7 linked regions of the Callithrix jacchus genome follow. The protein of the gene in region 7 interacts with the protein of the main gene of each other region in a pairwise test. Links are inferred from orthologs where the notes say so. Each region holds a gene or a part of one and is shown on either strand. Other genes may lie near its edges.

Region 1 (3,640 bases), on a different chromosome or scaffold from region 7:
TCACATCAGTGATCATTCAGCTTACCCAGTGGAGCTATGAGTTATGGGTTTGGAACCATCCTTTTTGTATTTGAATCTTAACTCTGTCCTTCACTACCCATGTAACCTGGGGCAAGTTGTCGAACCTCTGAGTGCTTCATTTTCCCCATCTGTAAAGTGTAGATAGTAATAGTGACTGTCTGAAGTGTTGGTGTGAGGATTGAATGAGATGATGCCCATAAAGTACTTGGGACAGGATCTGGAACATGTCAGTGACCAATATCATTATTAGTCAATTGTTAATAAAAGGATCACTGGCCGGGCGCGGTGGCTCACGCCTCTAATTTCAGCACTTTGGGAGGCCGAGGCGGGATCACAAGGTGAAGAGATCGAGACCATCCTGGTCGACATGGTGAAACCCTGTTTCTACTAAAATTACAAAAATTAGCTGGGCATGGTGGCACACACCTGTAGTCCCAGCTGCTCGGGAGGCTGAGGCAGGAGAATTGCTTGAACCCAGTAGGCGGAGGTTGCGGTAAGTGGAGATCGCGCCATTGCACTCCAGCCTGGGTAACAAGAGTGAAACTCCATCTCAAAAAAAAAAAAAGGGATCACTTATATAGATTTTTAGAAAACCTGTTCTAATTAAGATCTGAATTCTATAATTTATGTCTATACATGGATCCTCATGAAGTGGGTGAAAGCAGTTTTTTCTAATTGTTTAAATACTTGTTTTATTATCTTACCTATATTGTAGTCTCTGTTAATGACAAAGTAGTGCTAAAAAAGGTAAATGTTAATGTAGCTCCTAATTTGTCAAAAATTCTGATTTAGTAGAATCCAAATTGAGATTGATTGTGGACTGGGTGTAGTGGCTCACGCTTCTAATCCCAGCACTTTGGGAAGCCAAGCTGGGAGGATTTCTTGAATCCAGGAGTTGGAGGCTGCAGTGAGCCATGATCATGCCACACTACACTCCAGCCTGGATGACAGAGTCAGACCGTCTAAAAAACAAAAGGGTCAGGAGCAGTGGCTCACGCCTGTCATCCCAGCACTTTGGGAGGCCAAGGCAGGTGGCTCCCTTGAGCTCAGGAGTTCAAGACTAGCCTGGGCAACATAGCGAGACCCCATCTCTACAAAAAATACAAATTAGCCAGGTGTGGTGGCACATGCCTGTAATCCCAGCTACTTGGGAGGCTGAGGTGGTGGGATCGTTTGAGCCCAGGAAATGGAGGTTGCAGTGAACCTAGATGGAGCTACTGCACTGCAGCCTGGGGAATAGAGCAAGACTCTGTCTCAAAAACAGAAAAAAAAAAAAGTGGCTGGGCATGGTCACTCATACCTGTATTCCTAGCACTTTGGGAGGCTGAGGCAGGCGGATCATGAGGTTAGGAGTTTGAGACCAGCCTGGCCAACATAGTGAAACTCTGTCTTAAAAAATAAGGAGCCGGGTGCGGTGGCTCACGCCTATAATCCCAGCACTTTGGGAGGCCAAGATGGGTGGATCACAAGGTCAAGAGATCGAGACCATCCTGGTCAACATGGTGAAACCCCGTCTCTACTAAAAATACAAAAATTAGCTGGGCGTGGTGACGCATGCCTGTAGTCCCAGCTACTAGGGAGGCCAAAGCAGGAGAATTGCTTGAATGCAGGAGATGGAGGTTGCGGTGAGCCAAGATCACATCATTGCACTCCAGCCTGGGTAACAAGAGCGAAACTCGGTCTCAAAAAAAAAAAAAAAAAAAGGAAAGAAAAAAGTAGACATATCCAAGTCACGGCACCAAAAAAAAAAAAAGAAAGAAAAGAAAAGAAATTGATTGTTTATGAATTAAAAGTAGTCCCAAGTAGAAAGTTTCTCCCGAAATAAATTTCACAATGACAGAGGTGGTTTATTGGGCAAATGAGGACTAGTTATTTCATTTTATAATGCAAGCAGTATAGCTAGTTTTACCAAAATATTAATCTGTATGCTTTTCTCTGTAGTCTTCCTTTTTTCATCAACATGGGTGTGCCACCAATGACACCAATGCCAAGTACAACAGTCGCACTGCGCAGCTCTATAGGGAGAAAATCAGATCACTCGCTTCCCAAGCAACACGGAAGCATGGCACTGATGTAAGTCACTGGAGGCTGGATTGTTTCCTTTAGATACACGTTTGCTTAGTAGAAAGTGATTTTTATCCTGAATAATAAAACGTTTCTGCCTGAGTTGTCTTACAAGGAAATAATGTACAGTAGATTATTATTATTTGAAATAGTTATGTTCTGCGTGAGCACTGGATTAGTGAATACTGAAACATTGCTCCTAGGAGAAATACAGGATTAGGTTCCTATGAGCTTCTGGTCTCATTTTCGTCAGCTGATCGATACATAACCTTATTTAACATGTGTTTCTATTTAAAGACACCTTTTTAAATATGTATTGATGACTCATGAATATTGAACTCACAGCCAAGGAGTATAACTCAGCCCTGAATGAAGCTTATTTAACACCTGGGTTTTTTCTCCGTAAGACACATCATAGCCTTCATGTGTTTCATGGGAACAAACGTTAGATAGCCCTTCAGTACTGCACTTGAGAGCCGTCTTAAACAATGACATCCTCAGTAAAAAGCACAGAAATATGAAGGACGTAGCACTAAATAAAACTACAGAAAGGGCATTTGTTTATGAAAACTGAAACAAGAAGGCAGAGTGTGTCTTGTTCCACGTCAACTGGGAACGTGCTTCTTGGGGAACGCATGTTTTGCTGCACTGTTCTCCCAATGACTGAAAACACCACGAGGACTGATTTTGGGGTTAAAAGTAAATTTTAGCAAGTAGGTAAATTCCTAAATATGAAATCCATGAAAAATGAGGATTGATTATCATTTAGAACCTGCATTTAGATATGAAGTCCTTGATCTTTCCTTTTCAGAAATGGTTTGTGTATTTGAGGTACTTGACTTCCTCAAGGTTCAGAAGCAAAATTTACTGGATGATAGATTACTAAAGTGCACTCAGAGGTCCCATGTAGGCATGTTACCGATTTTATAAGAATGGAAAGTGCCGTGCTTGCTTCAGCAGCGCATATACTAAAATTGGAAAGATACAGAGAAGATTAGCATGGCCCCTGCCAAGGATGACACGCAAATTCGTGAAGTGTTCCATATTTAAAAAAAAAAAAAAGCCGGGCGCAGTGGCTCACACCTGTAATCTCAGCACTTTGGGAGGTTGAAATGGGTGGATCACCTGAGGTCAGCAGTTGAGACCAGCCTGACCAATATGGTGAAACCCTATCTTTAAAAAAAAAAAAGAATGGAAAGCGCCAGTCTTTAGGAAACAGGTCTCTATAAGGGAAGTGAAGGGTATCAAATAAAACCCTTTACAGGCCAGATGAAATGCTTAGCCCCGTGTTGTGTTTTTGTTCTAGCTGTGGCTTGATAGTTGTGTCGTCCCACCTTCGTCCCCTCCACCAAAGGAGGAAGATTTTTTTGCCTCTCATGTTTCTCCTGAGGTATGTATTATGCTTCACATAATTTTAAAGTGTGCTTACTCTGACAGTTACAAAGGTACATATTTTAAATGCTAGGATGTAGGCTAAGCTGTTGTAATAAAAAGTCTTGAAATATAACTATTTAAGAGAGAAATGACATTATCAGCAATTCCAAGGTTAGGCTAT
Region 2 (4,370 bases), on a different chromosome or scaffold from region 7:
AAAGAAATAATGCACTGGAAAACAACACTATTCATTTAACATAATGAATTGTCATGCAATAACTCAGATCTTCCCAGGGTGTAAATTATACCGATTTGAAAGCTGCATTTATTATTTAATGCCTCATTCCCAGACAGGTGCTTACTAAGTAGCAAAATCTGGCTCAGCATACCAAGTGTAAAGCTATTTAAAAAATAGGAAGGTTTTTAAAAAATACACTATCATGTATATAGCTAAAATATCTGTATGTATTTTTAATCTTTTTTCTCTAATGATATCTAAGATATTTTATTTTTATTACTACAAATAATAGAGACAAATTTGAATTGTATTAGTAGCAGAGATAAATGAGCTAAAGCTTGTATTGTTTAAAGCACATCATCTAAAAAGGCCTATCAGGAAACAGTGTTCATATTAAGTTGGCTTCCAGTACTCTAACAAGCTGACATCATTTTGTAAGAGCCAAGTGTAAAAGTAAATGCTAGGGTATTCTAAAATTTCCTAGGTTGAAGAGAAGAAATTTCTTATTATAGATTACTTGAGTTTATATCAGCTCAGTTGTATATCAGCTCATGTTAAATTTTGCAAGAGTTTATGATTTCTAAGAACTCACCTACTATAAGGCTCTTCGCTGAGTAGGGATAGTTAGGAATTAGTAAGTAAGGGGGATTTTTTTCCTGGTGTAAATAGCGCAAACTGTGAGCTATCGGGGAGGTGCTTATAAATGGGCAGAGTACATCATTTGCCCAAGATTCTAACAACTTAGCCTGCCCTCCACACGCTGTGGGATACCGTCTGCTACTTGCCAAGTAATTGCCATTTTTGGCAAAGACCACCCAGGGCTTGGGCTCAGAGTCCATCCTATGGCTGGCCAACCTCTGTAAATCTCGTGTCCCCTGATTCGGAGCAAGTGCATTTAATTCAGGAAGATCACTTACGACTGAGTTTTTCATCATGGCTTTGACTGTGAAGCCCTCAGAAACCAGGGAGTGAGGCTGGTGCACCGGGAGAGGCTGTTGTGCCAGCAGCTTAGTCCTCTTCGGCATCTTGTCTGGGCATTTGTTTAAGCTCAGGGTCTCTTTTTCTGCCACCATCTTCCTAGAAAATATCTTGTTCTCATAAAAAGTGTAGTAAAAGAATCAGTGGATTTTACGGATGTGAGCAGGAGGTCGGGAAAAAAATGTCAAAAGGCGCGTTAATGGTAGAAATTCAACCCTTTGTAGTGCCCAGGTTGATCCAGATGTTTGGCAGCTCCTTGGTGAAGGGAGTTTAGGGGAGGGGCGGGGCGGGAAGAGGGCAGGACCGTGGCTAGAGCTGCAACAAGCTTCCAAAGGTAAGCCTCCCGGTTGCTAAGCGACTGGTCAACACTGTGGGCGCAGGGCTCTGCCCGCCTCCCCTGTGACGTAAGCTTCCTGGGCCTGAAGCCGGAAAGGGCGGTGGTAGGGACGTGGGGAGGAGACGTGAGAAGAAACTACGCATTAAAACTACGACTCCCAGCAGGCCCAGGGCCGCGTACCGTCCGCGCGTGCGCATTGTTAGGGCCGGGCGCGGGGGCGGGGAGGCCTGGACGATTTAACTCGGGAGAGCCGCTGGTGGCAGGTGCGGGCGGTTGCCCGTGCGAGCGTAGGCCCCCTGTCTGTCGCGCAACAGCCACCTGCCCAGTGACCATGCTAGGTACGTGGGTGCCTGCCAGGTACAGCCTCTCTGCGCCGCCCCGCGTCCCGGTTCGGCGCCACGCCCCGCCTCGGCCGACCGGACCCCCGTTGCCAACTGTCAATGACGGAGCCAAAGTGCCCGTGCCTACCCCGGCCCACGCCGCTGGGCTCCCCAGTTCACTGACGCCGGCCTGGGGCCCCAATGTGTGTGTTCCAAGCGCCCCCCGTCCTCTCCCGCTCTGAGCGTTACCGAGAAGACAGCCTCGCCGGGGACGCCAGTCGGCCCCGCATCCCCTCTCCTCGCTCGCGGTCCCTCGGACCGTGCGGGGTCCCGAAGCCCTCGCTCCGCCGCCGTCCCCCCTCGCCTTCCTCCATCCCCTGGCCGGCGGTGGTCGTGCGGTTCAGTACCCATCGAGACCCACTCTCTGTGGGGCTCTTTCAGGAAACCCCAGCAAAGCATTAAACTCTAATGGAAGGCACCTGGTGAGGATGGTTGGGCTCCACAGAAACTCCTCCAGATGGATCTAAACTTCTTGCCCCTTCGAATGTTTCCTTTTCAACCTCTCGTTGAAGGTCTGAGGTGAAAGAAAAATTAAGAGTAAATAATTGCCGAGATTACATCTTCTGCCTTTTGCAAAATTACGATTTTTTTGGTAAAACCCGGAATGACCGAGCTGCAATTTTGTAAACGAAACTTGGTGGCTATCAGAGTTGTTCATGAACACTTGAAGTGTGAGATGAGCAAAGGTCCTGTCTTCCAGGGTTGTTAAGGCAAAAGTTACTTTAGGGGCTAACCCTGAACATTAATGGAAATGCACCATATGTTTAGAAAACAATGCTATGTGAGATGTCCTTATTATGGAGGTTTCTCCACGTAATGTATGGAGGGTTTGGTGAGCTCGTTTAGGGCTAATTCCTGAGGAGTGTCACTTACAAAACACTTTGGATTGCAGTAAGTACTTTCGGAGTCCGATGCGGTCTGTCCAGAAGAAAGATGAAAGGTGGATTTATAAAATATTAATCTTTATGCACTGAAAATACTTCTCATATCTGCTTTTGTTTATGAAGTTATTGTTAAAATGTAAACATGCTACCCATTAGTGGGAGACTCAGGTCAGGTAACTGGCATTGTCTTTGTCTCTGTGGTAAAACAAGAATGTTCTTCAGCTTTTCTTCCCTTTCTATCATGGTCTGACTTTTGGTGAATGACTTGAAGGTTATCAAATTATGAAAAAATTACAAATTTTATGAGTTTTCCTGAGCTCTTTTTAGGTGACGTCTACGTCAGATTGACTTGTAATCACAAATCTGAACTGAATCAGAAAACCAAGTAGAAGAGGTTTTCCAGAATCCGTGCTGTCAGTAGTCTACGGGAAGAAAATAGCCTGTCTTATTTTGAAGACAGTTAAACACATTTTATTTTAATTCAACTTAATCTAGTGCACAAATAATTTTAAGAGAAACAACCTTATTGTAAAGCTATATGAAGACAGGCACTTAAAATCTAAAGAACATTACCCAGTTATAAATTATTACCTAATAAGTTATATAAATAACTTTATTAGGATGAAATATGTTTGGGCAGTTCTGTTTAGTTTTATCTGGAATTCTTCTTCCAAGAAGGAAGAAATACGATCTTTGGAGCTGATGATTCAACAGTTATCAATTACCAGTAATGACTTGGAGACTAGAAGGTTGGTTTTAAAAAAGTTTTCTCCGACTCCAGCTGTTGCTTTAAATAGTGCAAGTAAGTGTGCATTAGAACATAAATGACTAAATCCATGCCTGCCTTCCTTAGGAAATGTACATTACATAAGAAATTGTGGACAGTGTGCAATACATTATTTTATTCAACTAATTGCATTGCCTAATTCTGAAATTAGACACCCGTCCCTCTTTTTTTTTTCTTTCTTTTCTTGAGACGGTCTGGCTCTGTCACCCAGGCTGGAGTGCAGTGGCACCATCACAGCTCACTGCAACCTCCAATTCCTGGGCTCAAGTCATCCTCCCGTCTTAGCCTCCTGAGTTGCTGTGACTACAAGTGTGTGCCATGCCTGCCAATTTTTAAGTTTTTGTAGAGATGGAGTTTCATTGTGTTGCCCAGGCTGGTCTCAAACTCATGGGTTCAAGCAGTTCTCCTGCCTGGGCCTTCAAAATGCTGGGAGTACAGGCGTGAGCCACTGCACCCAGCCTCATTAGACACATTTCAATAAACATCTGAATGGCCGGTTTGGGATTTAGGTGTGGAGAACAGTGCTAAAGGTAGGTGAAAGTGACAATGATTAAAAGGAAGCCCTGGAGTGATGGATTTTGTGTGTTTGTGAAGATAATTCAGAGCCAGCAAAGACAATGTAGACTTTACCCAGTGATCAGTTGGAGATCAAAATCTAAATAGTATGTATCTGTGATTGTTTTTCTGTTAAAGGTAAGAGCTTTCTTGAAGCTTGCTCCTTTCAGATCTACATTTTCTCTAAGTGCTAAACTCGCCTTAATGCAAATAATACTCTTCCACTTTATTTAAATTCTGGCTTACTTTAAGGTGAAACATAAAGATGCATTTCCTGGTAGAATAGGAATAAACAGGACTGACTGTGACCTCACTGCTAATGAAATGTACCTTCTGTTGACTTTCTCAAAACCAAAGATTTTCTTCTTGGCATGAAGACTGTTTCAAAAATACTTACATTTCCCACGTGGATTATGATTGATACACTG
Region 3 (4,068 bases), on a different chromosome or scaffold from region 7:
AGTCCGGGATAAATAACGGATTGCGGCTGGGTGCAGTGGCTCATGCCTGTAATCCCAGCACTGTGGGAGGCCGAGGCAGGTGGATCACCTGAGGTCAGATCAGGACCAGCCTGGCCAACATGGTGAAACCCCATCTCTACTAAAAATACAAAAATTATCTGGGTGTGGTGGCAGGCGCGAGTAGTCCCAGCTACTTGGGAGGCTGAGGCAGAATAGCTTGAACCCAGGAGGCAGAGCTTTCCGTGAGCCAAGATCACGCCACTGCACTCCAACCTGAGCCACACAAGATCTCAGTCTCAAATAAAATAAAATAAAAAACTGATTGTTTTGCCCATCTTGCAGGGTCTGTTACAAGGATCTACAAGGCAACAGTTAACAACTGTTTGTAATATGCACCAGGCACATTACACACTTGACAGAGCTCCCTGGATTGTTACAAGCAACACTTTGTAAGTCAGAACCTATGTCTCAGATCAGGCAACTTTCCCAAGACTCTGGAGCTAGGAAAGTTAGGACTCAAATCCAGGTGTGTCTGCTGCCAAAGCCCAAGCTGCTAATCAGTGAGTTCAACCATAAAAGCAGTTTGTGGCTGGATGAGGTGGCTCACACCTATAATCCTGCATTCTGGGAGGCTGTGGTGAGTGGATCACTTGAGGTCAGGAGTCCAAGACCAGCCTGACCAACATGGGGAAACTCTGTCTCTACTAAAAATACAAACATTAGCTGGGTGTGGTGGTACACATCTGTAGTCACAGCTACTTGGGAGGATGAGGTAGGAGAACCACTTGAACCCAGAAGGCAGAGAATGCAGTGAGTCAAGATGGCATCACCGCACTCCAGCCTGGACAACAGAGTGAGACTCTGTCACAAAGAAAAAAAAAAGCAGTTTGGAGGCAGTAGGTTCAGCCAATTTAGGACTTGCTACATATGATTCCTCTTTGACAAAATAAATGAGATGTACCCAGGCGTGGTGGCTCACGCCTGTAATCCCAGCACTTTGGGAGGCCGAGGCGGGCAGATCACCTGAGGTCAGGAGTTTGAGGCCAGCCTAGTCAACTTGGCAAAACCCCATGTCTACTAAAAATACAAAAATTAGCTGGGTGTCGTACCACATGCCTGTAATCCCAGCTACTCAGGAGGCTGAGGTAAGAGAGTTGCTTGAACCAGGAGGTGGAGGGTGCAATGAGCTGAGATCATGCCACCGCACTCCAGCCTGGGCGACAAGAATGAAACTCCGTCTCACGCACACAAAAAGAAAACAAAAAGAAAGACAAGGAGTGAGATGTGATGATCTCTAAGATGGATCTGATCACATCCACCCCTAAAATTCCATGACCGTAGGTACTCACTGGACCTGTTTCCAGAACCCACCACAATGCAGCTTTGATGGTGTTAACTGCTCCATGCAGCCCAAACTCTCTGTAATTTCTACACCTTTCAAAGGGGAACTGAGACGTGAACCATTTCAGGACTTGTTCATTTCAACACAGAATTCCCAAATCTCATCCCACAACAAAGAGATCCCAAACCCCACGACATCCAGGAAAGGGTCCCAAACTTCCATCCTCGCCTTGTACAAGGTGATGTTTGAGGCATGTGGAAAGTGCAGTGTGGCCACAAACAGGTGGACATAGTCACTGTTGAGACCACCCTCGTAAATATTCTCCGCGATGATCTTGCTGACGAAATTTTTGCCGGTGCCCGTCCACCCATGCAGGGAGAGGGTGAGAGGTTTCTTGGGCTTTGGGTTGTTTATGAAACCAAACACAGCATTTAAGATGATTTTCTTTGCAAGATGCTGTCCAAAGAGCTTGTTGTCCAGATCCTTCTGCAGCGCTGGAAAGACAAAGGCAATCGGGAGTGGGGAAGAAAGAGTGGCAAAAGGTAGCCACATCTACAGCCCATGAGAAAGCCGGCAAAGCCGCCTAGGCGCTCTTCAAGCACCTTGCGAAACCTTAAGTACTACGGGCTGTAAGCTCCTGGCCCAGTGCGGACGGCGGTCCAGGGCCTCCCTTTGCTGGTCCTGCCTATTCTAAAGCCCTGGCCCGGCTCCTTCCCGAAAAGGGCCTCGGTGCCCATGCCACAGCCACCAGTTTGCACCCCTAACTTCTGTGCTGCTCCTCCCACCCCAAGGCAGAGCGAGGAAGGGAGGCAGTTTGGCCGCTCCTGTCGGCTCCGGAAGAGTCCTCACCATCCTTCCTGTCTCCCGTTCTGCTAGGAGGCAGAACCCCCTTCGGAGGGAGGTTACCACCGGTTCCCCCTCCTGCCCAGCGTGGCGCGAAGCAGCCCAACCTGCAGACCGGCTCCTCTGGTCACCGACTGAAGTCTGGCCCGTCTGTGGTCGTGGCCAAGGAGCCAGGCCTCATCCTGAAGGCGGGCCGCTCGGCTTCCGGGGTTCAGCCCCCGTGGACTCAGCTCTGCCCAGGCCCGGCCGTCCTGGGATTTGACCCCTATCCGGGCCGGGCCCTAGTGCCATCCCCCATCCCCCAGCCTCCATCCCCAGGTCCTGGCCTGGCCCCAGTGCCATCGCCCAGCCCCAGCCCCAGCCTCCAGCCCCCTCCCCATCCTACCCTCCCGGCTGAGGCTCCGCTTCTGGCCGCAGCACTCGGCGAAGAGGCAGTAGAGACGCGGGTAGATGTAGCCGGTGAGGACGCCGGCCAGGGCCAGTCCCAGGCTGATGGGCTCTACCGCCTGCACCACGGACGGCGCCAGCAGCAGCAGGCCCAGCGCAGCCCGGCTCAGCTTCATGCCCGGACCCGCGCCGCCCTGCGCGTTCTGGCGCCGACCGCGCACTAGTACCGCCGCCAGACTCGCGCTTCCGGTTCCTCCTGCCGCGAAGGCCATCTTTCTTCAGGGCAGCCCTCCTACCGACGCCGGCGGCCGCCATCTTTCTTCGGGACAAAGCCTTGTTTTGCTTCCGGAAGGTCTGTTCTGCACTGCCCTTGTCGGCCACGTGTTTTTGTTTGTTTGTTTAAAGTAATCGAGGTTGGCCAGGCGCGGTGGCTCAAGCCTGTAATCCCAGCACTTTGGGAGGCCGAGGCGGGTGGATCACGAGGTCAAGAGATCAAGACCATCCTGGTCAACATGGTGAAACCCCGTCTCTACTAAAAATACAAAAAATTAGCTGGGCATGCTGGCGCGTGCCTGTAATCCCAGCTACTCGGGAGGCTGAGGCAGGAGAATTGCCTGAACCCAGGAGGCGGAGGTTGCGGTGAGCCGAAATCGCGCCATTGCACTCCACCCTGGGTAACAAGAGCGAAACTCCGTCTCAAAAAAAAAAAAAAAATTAAAGTAATCGAGGTTATTTTTGCGGGCGTGGTGGCTCACGCCTGTAATCCCAGCCCTTTGGGAAGCTGAGGCGGGTGGATCCCCTGAGGTCAGGAATTCCAGACCAGCCTGACCAACATGGTGAAACCACGTCTCTACTAAAAATATAAAATTAGCCAGTGTGGTGGTGTGTACCTGTAGTTCCAGCTACTGGGGAGGCTGACACATGAGAATCGCTTGAACCTGGGAGGCGGAGGTTGCAGTAAGCTGAGATCGCACCACTGCATTCCAGCCTGGGCGACAGAGTGAGTCTCTTTCCTCCCCCCGCCAAAAAAAAGGTAATGGACTTTTTTTTTTAGAACAGATTTACAGAAAAATTGAGAAGATAGTACAGAGAGTTCCCATGTGCCACTCCTCCCTGCAATTTCTCGTTACTAAAATCTTTTTTTTTTTGAGACGGAGTTTCGCTCTTGTTTACCCAGGCTGGAGTGCAGTGGCGCGATCTTGGCTCACCGCAACCTCCGCTTCCTGGGTTCAAGCAATTCTCCTGCCTCAGCCTCCCGAGTAGCTGGGACTACAGGCTCGTGCCACCATGCCCAGCTAATTTTTGTATTTTTAGTAGAGAGAGGGTTTCACCATGTTGACCAGGATGGTCTCGATCTGTTGACCTCGTGATCCACCCGCCTCGGCCTCCCACAGTGCTGGGATTATAGGCGTGAGCCACCGCGCCCGCATACTAACATCAAATTGTTAGTGTGCAACATTTGTTACAATTAATGAAGCACTGTTATATTATTATTA
Region 4 (3,640 bases), on a different chromosome or scaffold from region 7:
TCTGCTGTTTGAATTTTTGATTTCATGTGCTAATTTGTGTTTGAATTATATGTATAATTTTTTATACATTTTTACTTAATGCTTTGTAATTATTTAAAATTATGTCTGAAACGCAATGATCATAAGAAATGACATGAACTAGTGGTACTGTCATTTTCCTATGGTATTGAAAACACTGAGATGAACTAACATTTCTGCTTTATCTCCCTAGATCTACTGTAACCAGATAATTGTTCTTTGTTACGAACCCATGGCAGGCAGTACAAGTATAAATTATACAGGACTTAGAATTTCTTCATTTAATTTCACTGAACAGGAAGAAAAACTTTTTCCTTTACCGTTTCAGATGCACTAAAAGCACAGGTGGTAACTTCCAGATTTCTATCTTTTTTAGAGAATCCCGTCGAGCTCTGCAATGACTGCAGTAAAATCTGTTGTTATCTGTGAGTTTTTCTTCTTTGGAAAATAATCTAAGGCAATCCTGGCAGAAAAAAAACAAGTAGCAGATACTCATTAATTCATTTCTTCAACAGTGTCAAAGAGCATCTATTTAGTCACTCTGCAGGCACCAGTGATTCAATAAACTACACAGAAGAGTTCCTGCCCTCCCAAAGCTTGTGATCTAGTGAGGAGTGTAGACAAGTGAACAAAGACAGCACAGTGAGTGGTGAGTGCTATCTACAATGTGTTGTGACAGGACACAGGAAAGCCCCTAACCTGATCAATCAGGGAAAACCTGTTGGAGGAAATGATATTCTGGAGGTTTTTAAGACTAAAGGTATCAATAAGCTATTATATAAGAAACGTTGTTGATATACAGAAAATAGGACATTTACTTGCTATCCCCATGTAAAAAATGCTTATGAAAAGTAGGTCTAATTTGAAGTCAACAGACAACCTTCCAAATTGACTTATAAAACTTCTTAAAAACATATTAGCAATTCTGAAAGAATATTTAATAACGGTACTTTAAAAATTTTTCTAATTCTTTCTCATCTACATAGGCCTAATTATAAAACAGAATTTATATTGAGTTTTACCGATAAAATGTTTATAAGAGTAAAGACCAGAAATAAATTAAACAACATATATCTCTATATCCATATAAACAGCATTTTTATCCAATAAATCATTTTCTATCTTAAATTTACCTGTAATGTACATTTACTTGTGGATGCTAGCGGTAGAGACAAATACATGAAGGCCTCAAATGTCCTAGACTTTTTGTGACAGGTGAGGCACTGTACTGTAGATTTGAATTGACCCTGAAAAAGTGCAACAATTATAGACTCATTGAGCTGCTTGTGTTTCTGCCAGGCATGTTCTGCAGCTTTAAAGTCATCGAGATGATCATTATTTTCTTCTTTATATCTCTTCCGATTATCAGCCTGGAAATAAGATTATTTAAGCTCTATATTAATATCTCAAAAGACAATACTCAAATATAAAATGAAAGAATAAAAGTAAATGTAAACACTATGCAGATTTAGAAATACTTGTAGTTCTCACAAAAGAGTTGTGATCTCATTGAGTGTGGCAAAAATAATTCTAGCCAAAAATACTGAAAAAAACCCACTTTATCAAAGAATGTGACTTGCTGAAATTTCCCAAATTTTTATTTAAAAAGCTGAAAAGGGTCAGACCTGGTGGTTCATGCCTATCATCCCAGTATTCTGGTAGTCCAAGTCAGGAGGATTGCGTGGGGCCAAGATTTCGAGACCAGCCTGTGCAACGGTGAGAATCCCATCTCTAGCAGAAAAAAAGCTAAAAAGGTTGGTTTTGAAAAAAGATATCCTACATATAGCTGGGAATTAAGGCTACAACTAGACAGATAAAATTTTGTTGCTGTAACCTCATGATATGTATAGATACATATTTGTAAGTGTATTGTGCATATATATATATATATATATATTCGGTGGTAAGAATGGTGACCCCAAAAGCACATGTTAAAAAGTGCTTAAAAAAAAAAAAAAAGCTGTAATATACAAATGGAGGGTGGTCATTTATATATAGATACATGCCTCCATAATAACTAGTCACATGAGTCATTTGGTTACATGAAATAATTCTCTTTTTTGGCAGTGGGGGGGACAGAGTCTCACTCTGTTGCCCAGGCAACAGATTGTGCAGTGGTACAATCTCGGCTCACTGCAACTTTTGCCCAGGTTCAAGCGATTTTCTTGACTCAGCCTCCTGAGTAGTCGCGATTACAGGTGCGTGCCACTGTTTCTGGAAAATTTTTGTGTTTTTAGTAGAGATGAGGTTTCACCATGCTGGGCAGGCTGGTCTTGAACTCCTGATCTCACGTGATCCGCCAGCCTTGGCCTCTCAAATGCTGGGATCACAGACATGAGCCACTGCACCCAGCTGAGTAATTCTTATTTTAGAATAAACCATAAGAATAGGGCATGTTCCACTTTCAGCAAGGGAATGGGAAAAATAATAACATACATATATTACATATGTGAAATTATATAACAAAGATGCTCAAACTGTCTATAATCTTTTATAAGATCAATTGCTTATAATTTTACTTTCACATATGTGGGTCACAAACTCCAAAAACTGTTTTAACATTTGCAAATTTTTCAGCAATACTGCTTGTTAATTAGTAATACCAACTGTATATGCTTCAAATATTACAAAATTACCAGATGTTTTATAATTCTCTTATACAGTCATTATCTGAATAAACAAGTAGTGAACTGTCACCAACTAGAATTTTAAATTGCTATAAAAATACAGTGCTACAGAGCAACCCTAAACAGTCTCTGAAACTTAGAAAAATCAAATTTCTTACTTTATTTAGATCTTCATGGAGGCCATCCATTAGGAATAGAAGCAGTTCTTGTGAATCTTGCTGACTGTATCCTGCAAACTGGTCATTGATCTTCCCAATGGTGATTTTAAAGTCTTTTGGACTGATATATCTATACTGTCCTGTCCACAGGGCTTTCATGATTATACCAAATTCTTCTGCCACTTCACCTTTATGCCCCAATAAATTTGACCTGTGCAAATAAAAATTACAAAAGACAATAAAGGAAGTTTAAAAGTTAAGTAAGGCACAGTGGATTCAAGACATCATTCACAAATTGTAGCGCTACATTAAACTACATATTTACTTGCAGGCTTACCACCAGATTCTCATCTGAATCTGACTTGCTTACATCCCTTCAGCTTCCCTCTTTTGGCGGCAAGCCCTGCATGGTCTCATCAACAAACTCCAGTTAATGACAGTGAGGTTCTGCCTTCCAGCACTGCTCTCATCCTGTCTGTCCTTTACGAATCAGAGAAGGTTTTCTCTAGATTACTCTCTTTTTGTGAGATAGATAGGGTCTCACCCAGGCTGGTGGAGTACAGTGGCACAGTCATAGTTCACTGTAGCCTTGACCTTCTGGGCTCAGGTGATCCTCCCACCTCAGCCTCCCAAGTAGCAGGGACTATAGGCATGTGCCACAACACCTAACCAATTTTTGTAGCGACAGAGTTTTGCCTTGTTGCCCAGGCTGGTCTCAAACTCCTGGGTTCCAAGGGATCCACCCTCCTCAGCCTCCCTAAGTGTTAGGATTAGCAGTGTGAGCCAGAATGCCCAGCCTTCATTATTCCTACAAATAAAGATATTTTCCCCTTTCTA
Region 5 (4,172 bases), on a different chromosome or scaffold from region 7:
AGCCAGGCTCAGAGCAAGGTGAAGCCCACCTGAAGGAATACCAAAGTGACAGCAGCAGGAATGGTTTTAACTATGCTCATATGAGAATACACACAACACACACAGGTCCAGTCCCTCGATTCGTGTCTAACAGGTTGCCCAAACCAACTATGGTGGAGATGATTTCACGGTCTTCAGATCAGCCATCTTGACTCTAACTGCTGCTCTGCGCAGACCCACACTTCCTCCAGCCTGCCTTACTCCGGGTTACATGACCACTTCACTTTTCATTTCCTCAGGGGGGTCGTCTGAAAGGACTGAAATGTAGGCCAGGAGCCAATGCTGATGGAAAAAAAACAAATCAGCTGTGCCCAACCCCACTCAAGTAACTGGACATGTACCCTGATGGATGGTTGTCTGAAGGCTCCAACCCCAGGGCGCCAGAGCCACAGTCACCGGAAATCCCTACCCTAATGGTTTCCAGCGTGACTGCATGCCCAGCATGAGGTGAGGCCTGAGGGTGCAACCATGAGTGAGCAGACAGCCTGCCACCTTCCACCTTTGTGAACGACTTGGTAACAACCACACCAGAATTTGTCTGAATCTATCTTTGGAAAGCACAAAGTTGTTCTGACAAGGTCTCAGAGGAGTGCAGTGGTGTGACCTTGACTCACTGCAATCTGTACCTCTCAGGATGCCTTAGCCTCCTGAGTAGCTGGGATCACAGGTGACGGCCACCATACCCGGCTAATTTTTGTATTTTTAGTAGAGAAGGAGTTTTGCCATGTTAGCCAGGCTGGTATTAAACTACTGACCCCAAGTGATCCGCCAACCTTGGCCTCCCAAAGTGCTGGGATTACAGGTATGAGCCACTGCGCCCAGCCTAAAATACTTCTTTTTGATGCCTGCCTAAGAGTGGTTAATGGACTGGCTTTGCAGTGTAACTCAGACTGTGGAGTTAAAACTTTTGCCAAAATCTATCAATCTATAAATAAGCCAAATGCCTTCCATTTACCAAGCACTCTGACTTCCAAAACACTGCCAAGAACATATCCAGCTGACCACCTGGGTATAAATGTTTAGTCAACCCAAACATCTAAAGCGTGTTTTACTCACAGGCTGCTAAGGCATATATACAGGTTCAAAAGCAACAATATGGCATGTGACAGGGTTAACTGGTAGGTTAACCAGGCACCCAAAGTATGACCCACCCAAATGTATGGGTTCAGCCTAATGCTGTCAGCCCACTGGGTCCTGAGTCATCTCTCAGGTGAAAAGTGAGAAGGGTATGAGATGTAGGGACTGTTCACATGCGGATTAATCTAAAAAGTGCGACCAGAGGCATTACTGACATCCCATAGGATTCCGGACCCTGGCTGTGCCCCAGCCAAACACACCCCAGAGATGGGGCTGCTGGAACAGAGAATAGGTCCCCTCAAAGGTCTGCATCAGGCCTTCTGCAGGCACACTGCCCACGAGGCTACACATCCTCAAGTTCAGGGGGTCTTGGAATAACTCCTGTATTGCACAATCCCACTGACAAGTACGGAAAATTAAGTTACTTTAAAATTATGTACAAACTTGGGCTGGGCGTGGTGGCTCATGCCTGTAATCCCAGCACTTTGGGAGGCCAAGGGGTGGGAGGCGGGGAATCACCTGAGGTCGGGAGTTTGAGACCAGCCTAACTAACATACAGAAACCCTGTCTCTACTAAAAATAGAAAATTAGCCAGGCGTGGTGGCACGCGCCTGTAGTCCCAGCTACTCGGGAGGCTGAGGCAGGAGAATCGCTTGAACCCTGGAGGTGGAGGTTGCAGTGAACTGAGATCATGCCATTATACCTGGGCAACAAGAGCAAAATTCCATCTCAAAATAAATTTTTTTTACAAACTTGAAGATGTCAGCCAATCTTTCAATACACTTGTGCCCACATGCATATTCTTCTGTTGTAAATATGACAACCCAGAATGTTCTAATCCCATTTTTTTTTTTTTTTTGAAATCTACCTTGAGAATGTTAAAGGACAGCTCATGAGTACTACTACTTCATGGGCCTCTCATTTTGCCAGCATCTTAACCCTGTGGGACTTTCATTTGCACTCAGTCACCGCTCCAAGGCCTAGGGTCGCAGTGCAGAGAGAACCCCCAGCGGTCAGTCATGACGGCGGCCGCGAGGTGGAGGGCAAGCCCCGCTCCTAGCCAGGCCACTCCCCCAGCTCCACACGGCATTCGGGTCTTTCTGACATTATCCCCCACGCGTGCAAGACGCATGGGCAGCCTCTGACTGGGGAGCCAAACATCCTCGGACAGGGCTGCGAAAGAAAGAGCATGGCCTTTGTTTATCTCGGAGACCTCAGGCGCGGAGCAAGCCGACACTCGCCCGCGGCCCCGGCCCTGCCCCGCCCCCTCCCCCTCCCCTCCCACGGGCCGCGGCCCCCATCACGCCCTGCCCCTCCCCTGGGCCCGCCTCCCCACGCCCCACCCAGCCCTTCGCGGGTCCGCTCCCCGACGACCCTGCCCCTTCCCGACTCCGCACCCCCGAGACCGTGCCCCGCCCCGGGTCGGCTCCCCTGTCCCCTCTTTCCCACCCCTCCCCTCTCCAGACCCCGCTCCCCCACCCCCCGACCCTGCCCCTCCCCCAGGTCCACGCCCCACTGTCCTCCCCAACCCCGGCCGCGCTTGTCTAGTGGCCGTTGGGTTCTAGCGACGACCCGGCGGCGGCAGGGCTTGCGCGCGGACCCCGCGGGGGCCGCCACTTCCTTCCGCGGTCGCACTTGGTCTCGGTAGCCGCGGGGCCCGGGTCCTCAAACGGCGGGTGGGGACGGCGGGGCCTCACCAAGATAGATGTCTCCGAAGGAGCCGCTGCCAATCTTCCGACCCAGCCGGTACCTGTTCCCGACTCTCAGCTCCATGGCGGCGGCGGCCCGGTTCGATCCTGCCCTCCCGGCCGCTTCCTGGGTCTGAGCTCCGGGAGGCGGCGCCACTGCTGCCGCTACTGCGGCTCCGGCTGCCGGCTCCGCCCCCCTCACGGCCCCGCTTTCACCATCGCTTTCCCGTTGCCCCGTCGCTCCCAGCGCCTCAATACGGGGCGGATGGGACAGTCCAAGCGCCGCCGCCGCTGCTCCGGCCCCTGCCGGCGCCGCTTGCCCTCTCCCCGCCGCGGATGGACTCGGATCTTCGGGGCCTAAATCCCCTTTCAGCAGCCTGAAGGAGCCGCCGCCATCGCGCTGTGACGTCACTTCCCTTGGCAACCCCCTGGCGGGTGGGGCCGCAGTGCTCGAGGGGCGGGGGCGGGTGGGGCGAGCGCTCCCAGCCTCCTCGGACCCTGCACCGTCTCGCAGGGCCCCAGTCCCTCTGCCCGCCCATTATCCCAGGACCTCAGGCCGCCAGCCCCTTCCACGTGCAGGCTCCTACCGCTCTCACTGGGGCTTTTCGTGTGTCCCCCGAGATTTCGGGAGAGCCAGGTGAGTTCCTGGAGACAGGCGGTGCCCTTTGCAGGAGGGAACAGGTAGCTGAGGCCCGGCCCGGAGGACACAAGTGAGACCTTCTCACTTGGCTGCCAGTTCCCGGGCGTGGGGCATCTCAGGACGTCAGCGGCTTTGCCTCCTGACACCTGAGGCCAGAGACAGAGAGGCCCGCACCCTGGGAGGTCCTGATGTCCAGCCTGAAGGATGAGGACGAGGCTACCACCTTTCACAAAATGAGGACAGACCACCTGCCTCCCACCAGTCCCTGCGGCCTGGAGACCGAGTCAACATTCTTATCTGTGTTGGATCTGAATATTCCTCCTTGCAAAAGAAAACAAGGATGTGCACGTTCAGGCTGACGGTCAGCTTCAAAGATTGGGGCCTTTGATTCCCATCACTGGGAAGAAAGCCCTCCAGAGAAGCCCCCCCAGGCTGCGGCGCATGGGGACCATGAAGAACCAGTCCCCGTGGTCCCATGTCCACCTGTCTCAACCTGTCCCATCCTTGCTGAAACTCAAGAAGGTGAAACAGGTGAATTCAGGGCTCTGGTGTGGGCACCGTGGCCTAAGTGAGACAGAAGCCTCAGCTGGCATCTGGGTCACTGCAGAAGAGGAAAGCAGCCCCCGAAGGGCCCTGCAGTGGCACCCACCAGTCTCCATCCCCGTCTTTCCTCTCCACCCCTCAGCTCCCATGGAGGTAGATATCCCGGGGAGGCAGATATCCATTCC
Region 6 (4,115 bases), on a different chromosome or scaffold from region 7:
AGTTATACAGTTTTGTTTCTGAATGGCTGTTTTTAAAGACAATCCTAAATTATAACTTAGTTTGACTTAGATTGTAAAGAATCCAAGAGTGAAGTTTAATTGGCTACTATTTTAAAAGCATGTGACCTTATAGATCATCTATAAAATGTGTGAAGTGTTAAATAATTTTTTATATTACACATAAACCACACAAAATGCCTTTCAGTAAGTAAAAGGAACCATTTTAAATACAGGGTACTCTAATTAGATTGGCATAGTTAAGGCCAAAAATATAAAATAGCCATTGCTACCCGTTTATCTTCAACCTTGCCTTTAAGAGGCAAACGAACACAAAACACAGGTGAATCTTGCTTGGTTCTGAGACTGTGAAGGAATTGCCCCCATATTTAAATATATTCACATAACCAGTCATATAAATCTAAATATAAAACCAATCTCCAGTAAGTTTTAAGATGGCACTCACCATCTTTGCGAAAAGTTTTAACATTACTAATGAAGTCTAATCATATCTTTAGAAGGGGTGGGTGTGACAGAATTTACTAAATTGGAATTACTATTAAAATCCAAAAACTGAACATATTCATTTAACCACAAGCCAGTCTTAGTCTTAAATCAGGACTGCCCAACAAAATATTCTGTCAGTCATTCATGATGTAAATTCTGGTGTATGAGATCTATTAAAGTACGGTACACATAAAAAAGTCATGAGACATTTGTTTTGTAATAAATAAGGCAGTGGCCAATTATTACTCATTAGTAGCTTTTTTGAGATAAGCTATTAAGTCTTCCCTTTCTCCCTTCTTCTTAATGCCGACAAAGATCATTTTTGTTCCAGGGATATACTTCTTGGGATTCTCCAAATATTCCATCAGTGTATCCTCTCCCCAGATGATGCCTAAATGATAAAGAATGCATCCATTAAGTATTTCACACTCCGGAGTTTGCCACAGGTTACGTTCATGCGTTTTGTGCTGTTTTATTTAACAAGTGTTCTCCTCTTACCTTTGTTTTTATTGGCTTCAGTGTAAGTGAATCCAGAGGCCTGACCTGTCTTCCGCCCAAAGATACCATGGAGATTAGGCCCAGTCTTGTGCTTGCCTCCCTTTTCCACCGTGTGACATTGGGAACACTTCTGAATAAAAATCCTCTTGCCTTTCTCAACATCACCCATATTGAATTCTAAAAACGAAAGACCCAACAATAATTTTTCTTCAGGTAACAAATACAGTGTAAACTAATGACCACTCTAGTCACTTAATTACCAATCCATTGATAATTTATGTCATTAAATACTAAGATGAATCTTCTTTTGCTTTAATACTTTTTATACCCAATACTCTTTCATACCAAAAACATTTTTTAGGAGCACCTCCTTAAAAACCTGTTTTTGTGTGTATACGTGAAGGAAGGTTAAAACCCAAGCAAGCAAATGGGAACGTAATTCAAACTTCAGTTTCAGAAGATAAGGTCATGATCACAAACAGTCACAGATACGAAGCAGAACAGCGAACATTAAGTGAAAATCACCACAACTGCAACTTTTAAGAAGGTCTAATCATTTAATCGTACTACAATGTAAAGCCACCTCTCCCTGAGGATAATGCAAAGCACAAATGTTTAAAAATCGGTCCTGGGTCCCGGCGCGGTGGCTCACGCCTATAATCCCAGCACTTTGGGAGGCTTGGAGGGGTGGGTTGTCATCACCAGGTCAGGAGAACGAAACCACCCTGGCTAACATGGTGAAATTCTGTCTCTACTAAAATACAAAAAAAAAAAAAAGCCGGGCGCGGTGGCTCATGCCTATAATCCCAGCACTCTGGGAGGCCAAGAGATTGAGACCATCCTGGTCAACAAGGTGAAACCCCGTCTCTACTAAAAATACAAAAAACTTAGCTGGGCATGGTGGCGCGCGCCTGTAGTCCCAGCTACTCGGAAGGCTGAGGCAGGAGAATTGCCTGAACCCAGGAGGCGGAGGTTGCAGTGAGCCGAGATCGCGCCATTGCACTCTAGGCTGGGTAAGAAGAGCGAAACTCCATAAGAAAGAAAAAAAAAAAAAAAAAAAAAAAGCCGGGCGTGGTGGTGGAAACCGGTAGTCCCAGGTACTAGGGAGGGCGAAGCAGGAGAATTGCTTGAACCCGGGAGGCGGAAGTTGCAGTGAGCCGAGATCGTGCTACTGCACTTCAGCCTGGGTGACGGAGCGAGACTCCGTCTTCAAAAATAAATTAAAAATAAAATAAACGGTTCTGATTGTTTCTACCTGCCCAGGGCACAAGAGTAGCTTGACACTACTCCTGCGTGAATTGGAGCGCAGGAGTAGGCTGCACGGTGTCCCCAAGAAATCCCCAACTCTCTTACCGGTGATCCCCCCGAGGTGACCACGAGGTCACCCATCCAGGTCGGTTTCAAGGTGACTGATGAAACCCACGTTTCTAGGACGCCGCAACGATTGAAAGAACAAACATGTGCCCACGAAAAGAACAACCCCTTATTAGAGGAGCAACAGCTTTTGCCCTCTGAAGCAGAAAATGAAACGCTACGCTTCGGTTTTAAGGGAGGGAAGTCTGGCCTATCGTTTCCATAGCCCTTCAACAACCACGACGGAAGAGGACGCGTCTTGCCGTCTCCAGTAACTGACCGAGACCTTAGTTGGGCTTCCGCCCTACCTCAAGCGGTTGATCGCCTGGCTCTCGTTTGACCATAGTCTAGGGTCCTCACGTCCGGCCTTCCCACCCCGCGCGGGCTCCCCTCGAAGGCTCCCCGCGTATCCTCGCGAATACGTGCCCCCCACAGCTCTGCTTCTAACCAGATGCGGCTTCCGCGACCCGCTCTCACCTTTTTCGTGGTTAGCGCAACAAAGACTACCACTCAGAAGCCGGACGTCCCACTCTCTAAGTCCAAGGACACGCCGGTCCGCGCCTAAGTACCAGTGTAAGTGCAACCAAACTCGCTCCGCCCTCCCGCGCCCTGACGTACAGCCGAGCTTGCGGCTACGCAGTGACGTTGCCGCGCTTCATTGGCTCCAGTGCCAATGCTTGCGCCAAGGATCTGCGCGCGCATACCAGCGAGCAGGGTAGGCTGTGCGGCGTGCGTGCCCTTCCTCTCCAGGCCTCTCTTGCCGGGCCGTTACGACAGGCCTTTGGTCAAACGACGTCGCGGTGGTGCCGGGAGGGGTGACGTCACTCGCAGGTCTTTGTGCGCTTGCGTATACTAGAGGGGCGGGGAGGGTGGGGCGGAGTCGGTGGTGGTTTGGCGCGTTACCCTGCTAAAGTAACAGGCCTGGTGATGTAATGAGCTTTGTTTGGGCAGGGCGTTCCGCACGTCCAGGAGAAGACGCCCTAATTCTGGCTCACCTAGAGGTCTCCTAGCTACCGTCTCGTCAGCAGACGACCTTTACCCAGGCTCTGTCATACTAACACTGCTGGCGCCAACAGCATCCCAGAGGCACAGCCTGGAACCAGGAGTTAGACGAGTTGGGCACTTGCTCGTGACCTTGTTCTAGTTCCACCTCTACTGTGTTACTTTCAGTCATCTTCTAGCTCTCCGCTTGTTGGACGCCCCAAGAATGGGGAAGGTGCTGCATTTGCGGTAGAGACAATTATATCTCTGGCCCCTTACCTGTCGGCAACTTTTCTGCCAGCGCCCTCCTCCCCCTCACGTTCGTGTGCAGAAAGAACATGGAAGGTGTGTTGGCACCATCTAAGAAGAAACATGTTTAGATGATTAGAGAATTCTTGGAAATCTAGAGGATTTGCATCCCTTCTGACCTAGGTAAATGTCATGTTCAAGTAAGCTTATGCATGAGGTCTTATTAGAAATAAAGGCGTTAATACCACAGCTTTTAGTTATTATAATTTAAAACTAGATCCCCTTCCTGACATGCTCAGTTCTGTCACTGGTTTTTTTTTTTTTTTTTTTTTTTGACACCTTTACTCCTCAAATTCTAGCCCCATGTTCTGATTAATTTTCATCCTTTCTTGTATTCTCTCCCCTCCACTCCCTCGCCTTGTATTCTATCTGACACTGCCGTATTCAGTCGTATTCATTGGCCGGACAAGGTGATTCACACCTGTAATCCCAGGACTCTGGGAGGCCGAGGCGGGCTAATCACCTGAGAT
Region 7 (3,640 bases):
AACTGGTTAATTGATTGTGTACTAATTTAAACTGAGGTCCCTCTTACCTTGTGAAATCTTACAAAGCTATAAATAGAATTATAATTTTAGATGAAAACCAGGACTAAAATTATTATCCCTAATAAGATCATTTGAAAAGCATATTTTGTACAAAGGGGTACCATCATGACCAACAATGCATTCAAGCATTGGCTGAAGAACTTCACTAGAAGCCCAGTCAGGATTTGCCATAATTAGCATTCATCACACCAGACAATAGACATGTAACTACATGTACTAAATTTAAATATATCACAGATATTTTTGTTCTGCCTTTTTATTATAAGTGCTTTAATGGGCTATCAAGGTAAGACTGCTACCTAGGATTACATGAAGTGGAAACAACTCAGAATAGTTTGCCAGCAAATAAAACTTCTTTCTCACAATTTTCAAGATATTCATCCAAAATCATTTTGGTTGGAACTAGTGGATGGCTGAATAGCACTGTTCTTATACTAAGCATACGATTATAAAAGACGCAGAAATAAAAGTCATTCTGCTTACTCACTTATCTCCTTCCTTCCTTCCCTAATTTAATAAATGTTTGTAAATTGTCTAGTACAAGTTGGAAACTCTCCTAGACACTTGTGAACTATCAGTAAAAAATGTAAATATATTTCACTCTCATGGTGCCTACATTCTAGAAGGGAAAAATAAAATAAACAACATACATTAAAGTAAGCATATTATTTATTGTATTTAAAGGTGATGAACACTTTGGCAAGGAAGGAAGGAAGGAAGGAAGGAAGGAAGGAAGGAAGGAAAGAAAAAGACTAGGGAGACTGGGCACACCAGAAGGAAGGAAGGAAGGAAGGAAGGAAGGAAGGAAGGAAGGAAGGAAGGAAGGAAGGAGGGAAGGAGGGAAGGAGGGAAGGAGGGAAGGAGGGAAGGAGGGAAGGAGGGAAGGAGGGAAGGAGGGAAGGAGGGAAGGAGGGAAGGAGGGAAGGAGGGAAGGAGGGAAGGAGGGAAGGAGGGAAGGAGGGAGGGAGGGAGGGAGGGAGGGAAGGAAGGAAGGAAGGAAGGAAGGAAGGAAGGAAGGAAGGAAGGAGAAGGAAGGAAGGAAGGAAAGAAAGAAAGAAAGAAAGAAAGAAAGAAAGAAAGAAAGAAAGAAAGAAAGAAAAGAAAAGAAAAGAAAAGAAAAGAAAAGAAAAGAAAAGAAAGGGACTAGGGAGACTGGGCACACCAGAGGTGAGGAGGACACCAATTTTACATAGGTTAGAGCTAGTTCCATTTTAAATATGGAACCTCATATTGTATTAGTTCCATATTTAAAATGAAAGTTATAATATCTTTGGTAAAATCTTATTTGTGTCCTATATTTGTCAAAAAAAATTCAGTCAAAATTCTTCTCAGAATTTTAAAACTTACCTCAAAAGTATGATCTCTGATTGGTATGTGTTTTAAGTCTCTCAGTTCCCACAAACATGTATTTGGTAATGAACTGTTAAGTAATATGCAAATATGCCATTTAATAAGAGATGATGTCACTATAAAGAAATCAAGTAAAAGAACTCTATTTTGGAAATTAAGAAATTAGGCACAAAGAGATTTGTTATTCCAATGAAGAGAAATTTCAAGACTTATAGTTAACATGAAAGCACTCATTCTTTCTGAAATGTCACACTGTTCCTTTGGCATTTTAATAAATTGTTTGTTTCATTAGCTTTCTTCCAGAAATTGAAAAAATCATGATAATTGTACCATTTGCATGGCGTTTATCTGGGTTAATGCCTGAAGAAAACAAGACCTATATAAAGGTAGCACTTTTTCACAACGGGAGGGTCAGGTAGCCATTTCCCACAGTAAGCATCTTGCTCCCGCCTCCAGGCCTCACATGAAAATGAACCATGATCTCACCAGCTTGTAAATGTAACACAAAGTGTACACAGCCATACCTTGCCCAAGTGGTCCTTTTTGACAAAGCCAGTGGCTGCTGCAATGTTCCCTGCTCCCTCCACTGTCTTCTGGGCTACTGCTGTCACACCCGTCACCACTGCTCCTCCAACATTTGTCACTTGCTCTTTGGTCTTCTCAGCCACTGGTACAAATCAAGAACAACAACAGATTAAAGGGTGGTAGAGTAACACTGACTTAAAATCATTCCACTTCCACTAGCCATCAACTTCTATACACCTGTATTTACACATGCCAAAGACAACTGAGGGGTCAGAAGAAACACAGTAACCAAGATTTCCAAGTCAGTGTGGTTCAAACAAACACTGAATCTTGGCTAAGATGTTTTTGCTATAATCATGCAGTATTAAAAGTGCTTCAAGTTTAATGATCAGGAATGTAAAGCCATGAGTGATTTGGATTTGCTTTATCCTAAGGAAAGTTTAGAGAAAGCAACGCTTACAGGTGCAGTTATAGTTGAACCAGACTCAGTATGAATACTTCATTATTTCAATTCAGTGTCAGTCCTTTGATCTCACACAGCAAGTTTATTTCCATCACACCTTCTTAGCAACACAGTACATACTTCTGAGCTTTTTTATTTTATTATTATTTTTTTGAGACGAAGTTTCACTCTTGTTGCCCAGGCTGGAGTGCAATGACATAATCTTGGCTCACTGCAACCTCCGCCTTTCAAGTTCAAGCAATTCTCCTGCCTCAGCCTCCTGAGTAGCTGGGATTACAGGTGCCCTCCACCACATTTGGCTAATTTTTAAAAATATTTTTATTTTTAGTAGATACAGCATTTCACCATGTTGGTCAGGCAGATCTCAAACTTCTGACCTCAGGTGATCCACCCGCCTCAGCCTCCTTTACAGGCATGACCCACTGCGCCCAGCCCATACTTATCAATGTGTTCAGACACGGTATTATCACATATATATGATTAATAGTATAAGAGATGGCTGTGAAGGAACTTGGATCTTTTTATAGAACTTCAGGTAGTGAAACAGAAGTGTTCTTAAAAAGCAAAATTTGCAGTTATTTTGATAGGCGCAAAGGAGCTAGACAGTATGAAAATGAAGAGGCAATTGAGCACCCTAACAATTTCTTTTCATTAAAGAAAATGTGATATGGTCATTCAGTAGATTTATTTTAGAAAGTTAATGTTTTAGAAGACAATGTAAATAATTTGAATTGGGTTTATAAGCGGAAATTTAATGTCATGTCAAAAATTCTCTTGTTCAGTGAAATCAGCCAGAAACAGAAAGGCAAACACCACATGATCCCACTTATGTGGAATCTAAAGAAAAAAAAGAGTTGATATCATAGAAGCAAAGAGTATAACAGTGGAGGCAAGTGGAGGATGGGGACAGGTTAGTTATATTCTTCCTTAGGTGCTCGTCTAAAAAAATGAAGGCACATTTTCTTGATATGCTTTGTACTCCCCAGATAAGCCACAGTCTGAGAGGAGTTACACCATGTCAGCTGTTTAGTGCTATTCACATGATTACTGTATAGCTTTCATCTCTCCAGTTGAAGAAGCCCATAGTTAAATGGTGTGGGCAAAGCAATTTGTTTTCAAATACATTATGTATGTCATAGAAGCTAAAGGTCTGTAAGGACAGGAGGCTTTCTCTTTAATTCAGGCAATGTGGGGAAGCCTGCCATAGCCACACAGCCCAAGACCAGAAAGGGTCCACAGCAG

Evidence for each region.
Region 1: the proteins of SNCA (region 7) and ARFGAP3 interact in binary tests that used the Homo sapiens proteins (3 or more experiments, as listed by UniProt). The link is inferred for Callithrix jacchus from reciprocal best matches to the Homo sapiens genes SNCA and ARFGAP3.
Region 2: the proteins of SNCA (region 7) and PRKN interact in binary tests that used the Homo sapiens proteins (3 or more experiments, as listed by UniProt). The link is inferred for Callithrix jacchus from reciprocal best matches to the Homo sapiens genes SNCA and PRKN.
Region 3: the proteins of SNCA (region 7) and TOR1A interact in a two-hybrid assay, tested with the Homo sapiens proteins (2 studies listed by BioGRID, with this or other methods). The link is inferred for Callithrix jacchus from reciprocal best matches to the Homo sapiens genes SNCA and TOR1A.
Region 4: the proteins of SNCA (region 7) and USP8 interact in a two-hybrid assay, tested with the Homo sapiens proteins (2 studies listed by BioGRID, with this or other methods). The link is inferred for Callithrix jacchus from reciprocal best matches to the Homo sapiens genes SNCA and USP8.
Region 5: the proteins of SNCA (region 7) and CSNK1D interact in binary tests that used the Homo sapiens proteins (3 or more experiments, as listed by UniProt). The link is inferred for Callithrix jacchus from reciprocal best matches to the Homo sapiens genes SNCA and CSNK1D.
Region 6: the proteins of SNCA (region 7) and CYCS interact in binary tests that used the Homo sapiens proteins (3 or more experiments, as listed by UniProt). The link is inferred for Callithrix jacchus from reciprocal best matches to the Homo sapiens genes SNCA and CYCS.

What each region holds. Positions count from the first base shown.
Region 1 is NC_133502.1:188,977,401-188,981,040, forward strand, and holds part of ARFGAP3 (ADP-ribosylation factor GTPase-activating protein 3), read left to right. Parts: intron 1-1,962; coding exon 1,963-2,094; intron 2,095-3,029; exon of another isoform or gene 3,030-3,135; intron 3,136-3,391; coding exon 3,392-3,475; intron 3,476-3,640.
Region 2 is NC_133505.1:169,264,566-169,268,935, reverse strand, and holds the start of PRKN (E3 ubiquitin-protein ligase parkin), read left to right. Parts: upstream 1-1,569; 5' UTR 1,570-1,667; coding exon of another isoform or gene 1,668-1,674; intron 1,675-4,370. Other genes in the region: PACRG (parkin coregulated gene protein), read right to left, coding at 939-1,094. UniProt on the Homo sapiens protein: Functions within a multiprotein E3 ubiquitin ligase complex, catalyzing the covalent attachment of ubiquitin moieties onto substrate proteins. Substrates include SYT11 and VDAC1.
Region 3 is NC_133502.1:178,416,403-178,420,470, forward strand, and holds the start of TOR1A (torsin-1A), read right to left. Parts: upstream 2,813-4,068; 5' UTR 2,749-2,812; coding exon 2,571-2,748; intron 1,837-2,570; coding exon 1,571-1,836; intron 1-1,570. UniProt on the Homo sapiens protein: Protein with chaperone functions important for the control of protein folding, processing, stability and localization as well as for the reduction of misfolded protein aggregates.
Region 4 is NC_133509.1:38,137,266-38,140,905, reverse strand, and holds part of USP8 (ubiquitin carboxyl-terminal hydrolase 8), read right to left. Parts: intron 3,015-3,640; coding exon 2,804-3,014; intron 1,389-2,803; coding exon 1,152-1,388; intron 482-1,151; coding exon 339-481; intron 1-338. UniProt on the Homo sapiens protein: Hydrolase that can remove conjugated ubiquitin from proteins and therefore plays an important regulatory role at the level of protein turnover by preventing degradation. Converts both 'Lys-48' an 'Lys-63'-linked ubiquitin chains.
Region 5 is NC_133506.1:137,905,498-137,909,669, forward strand, and holds the start of CSNK1D (casein kinase I), read right to left. Parts: upstream 2,940-4,172; 5' UTR 2,890-2,939; coding exon 2,814-2,889; intron 2,122-2,813; exon of another isoform or gene 1,985-2,121; intron 1-1,984. UniProt on the Homo sapiens protein: Essential serine/threonine-protein kinase that regulates diverse cellular growth and survival processes including Wnt signaling, DNA repair and circadian rhythms. It can phosphorylate a large number of proteins.
Region 6 is NC_133512.1:32,936,076-32,940,190, reverse strand, and holds the start of CYCS (cytochrome c), read right to left. Parts: upstream 2,891-4,115; 5' UTR 2,833-2,890; intron 1,180-2,832; 5' UTR 1,172-1,179; coding exon 1,003-1,171; intron 896-1,002; coding exon 747-895; 3' UTR 1-746. UniProt on the Homo sapiens protein: Electron carrier protein. The oxidized form of the cytochrome c heme group can accept an electron from the heme group of the cytochrome c1 subunit of cytochrome reductase.
Region 7 is NC_133504.1:107,752,498-107,756,137, reverse strand, and holds part of SNCA (alpha-synuclein), read right to left. Parts: intron 2,078-3,640; coding exon 1,935-2,077; intron 1-1,934. UniProt on the Homo sapiens protein: Neuronal protein that plays several roles in synaptic activity such as regulation of synaptic vesicle trafficking and subsequent neurotransmitter release.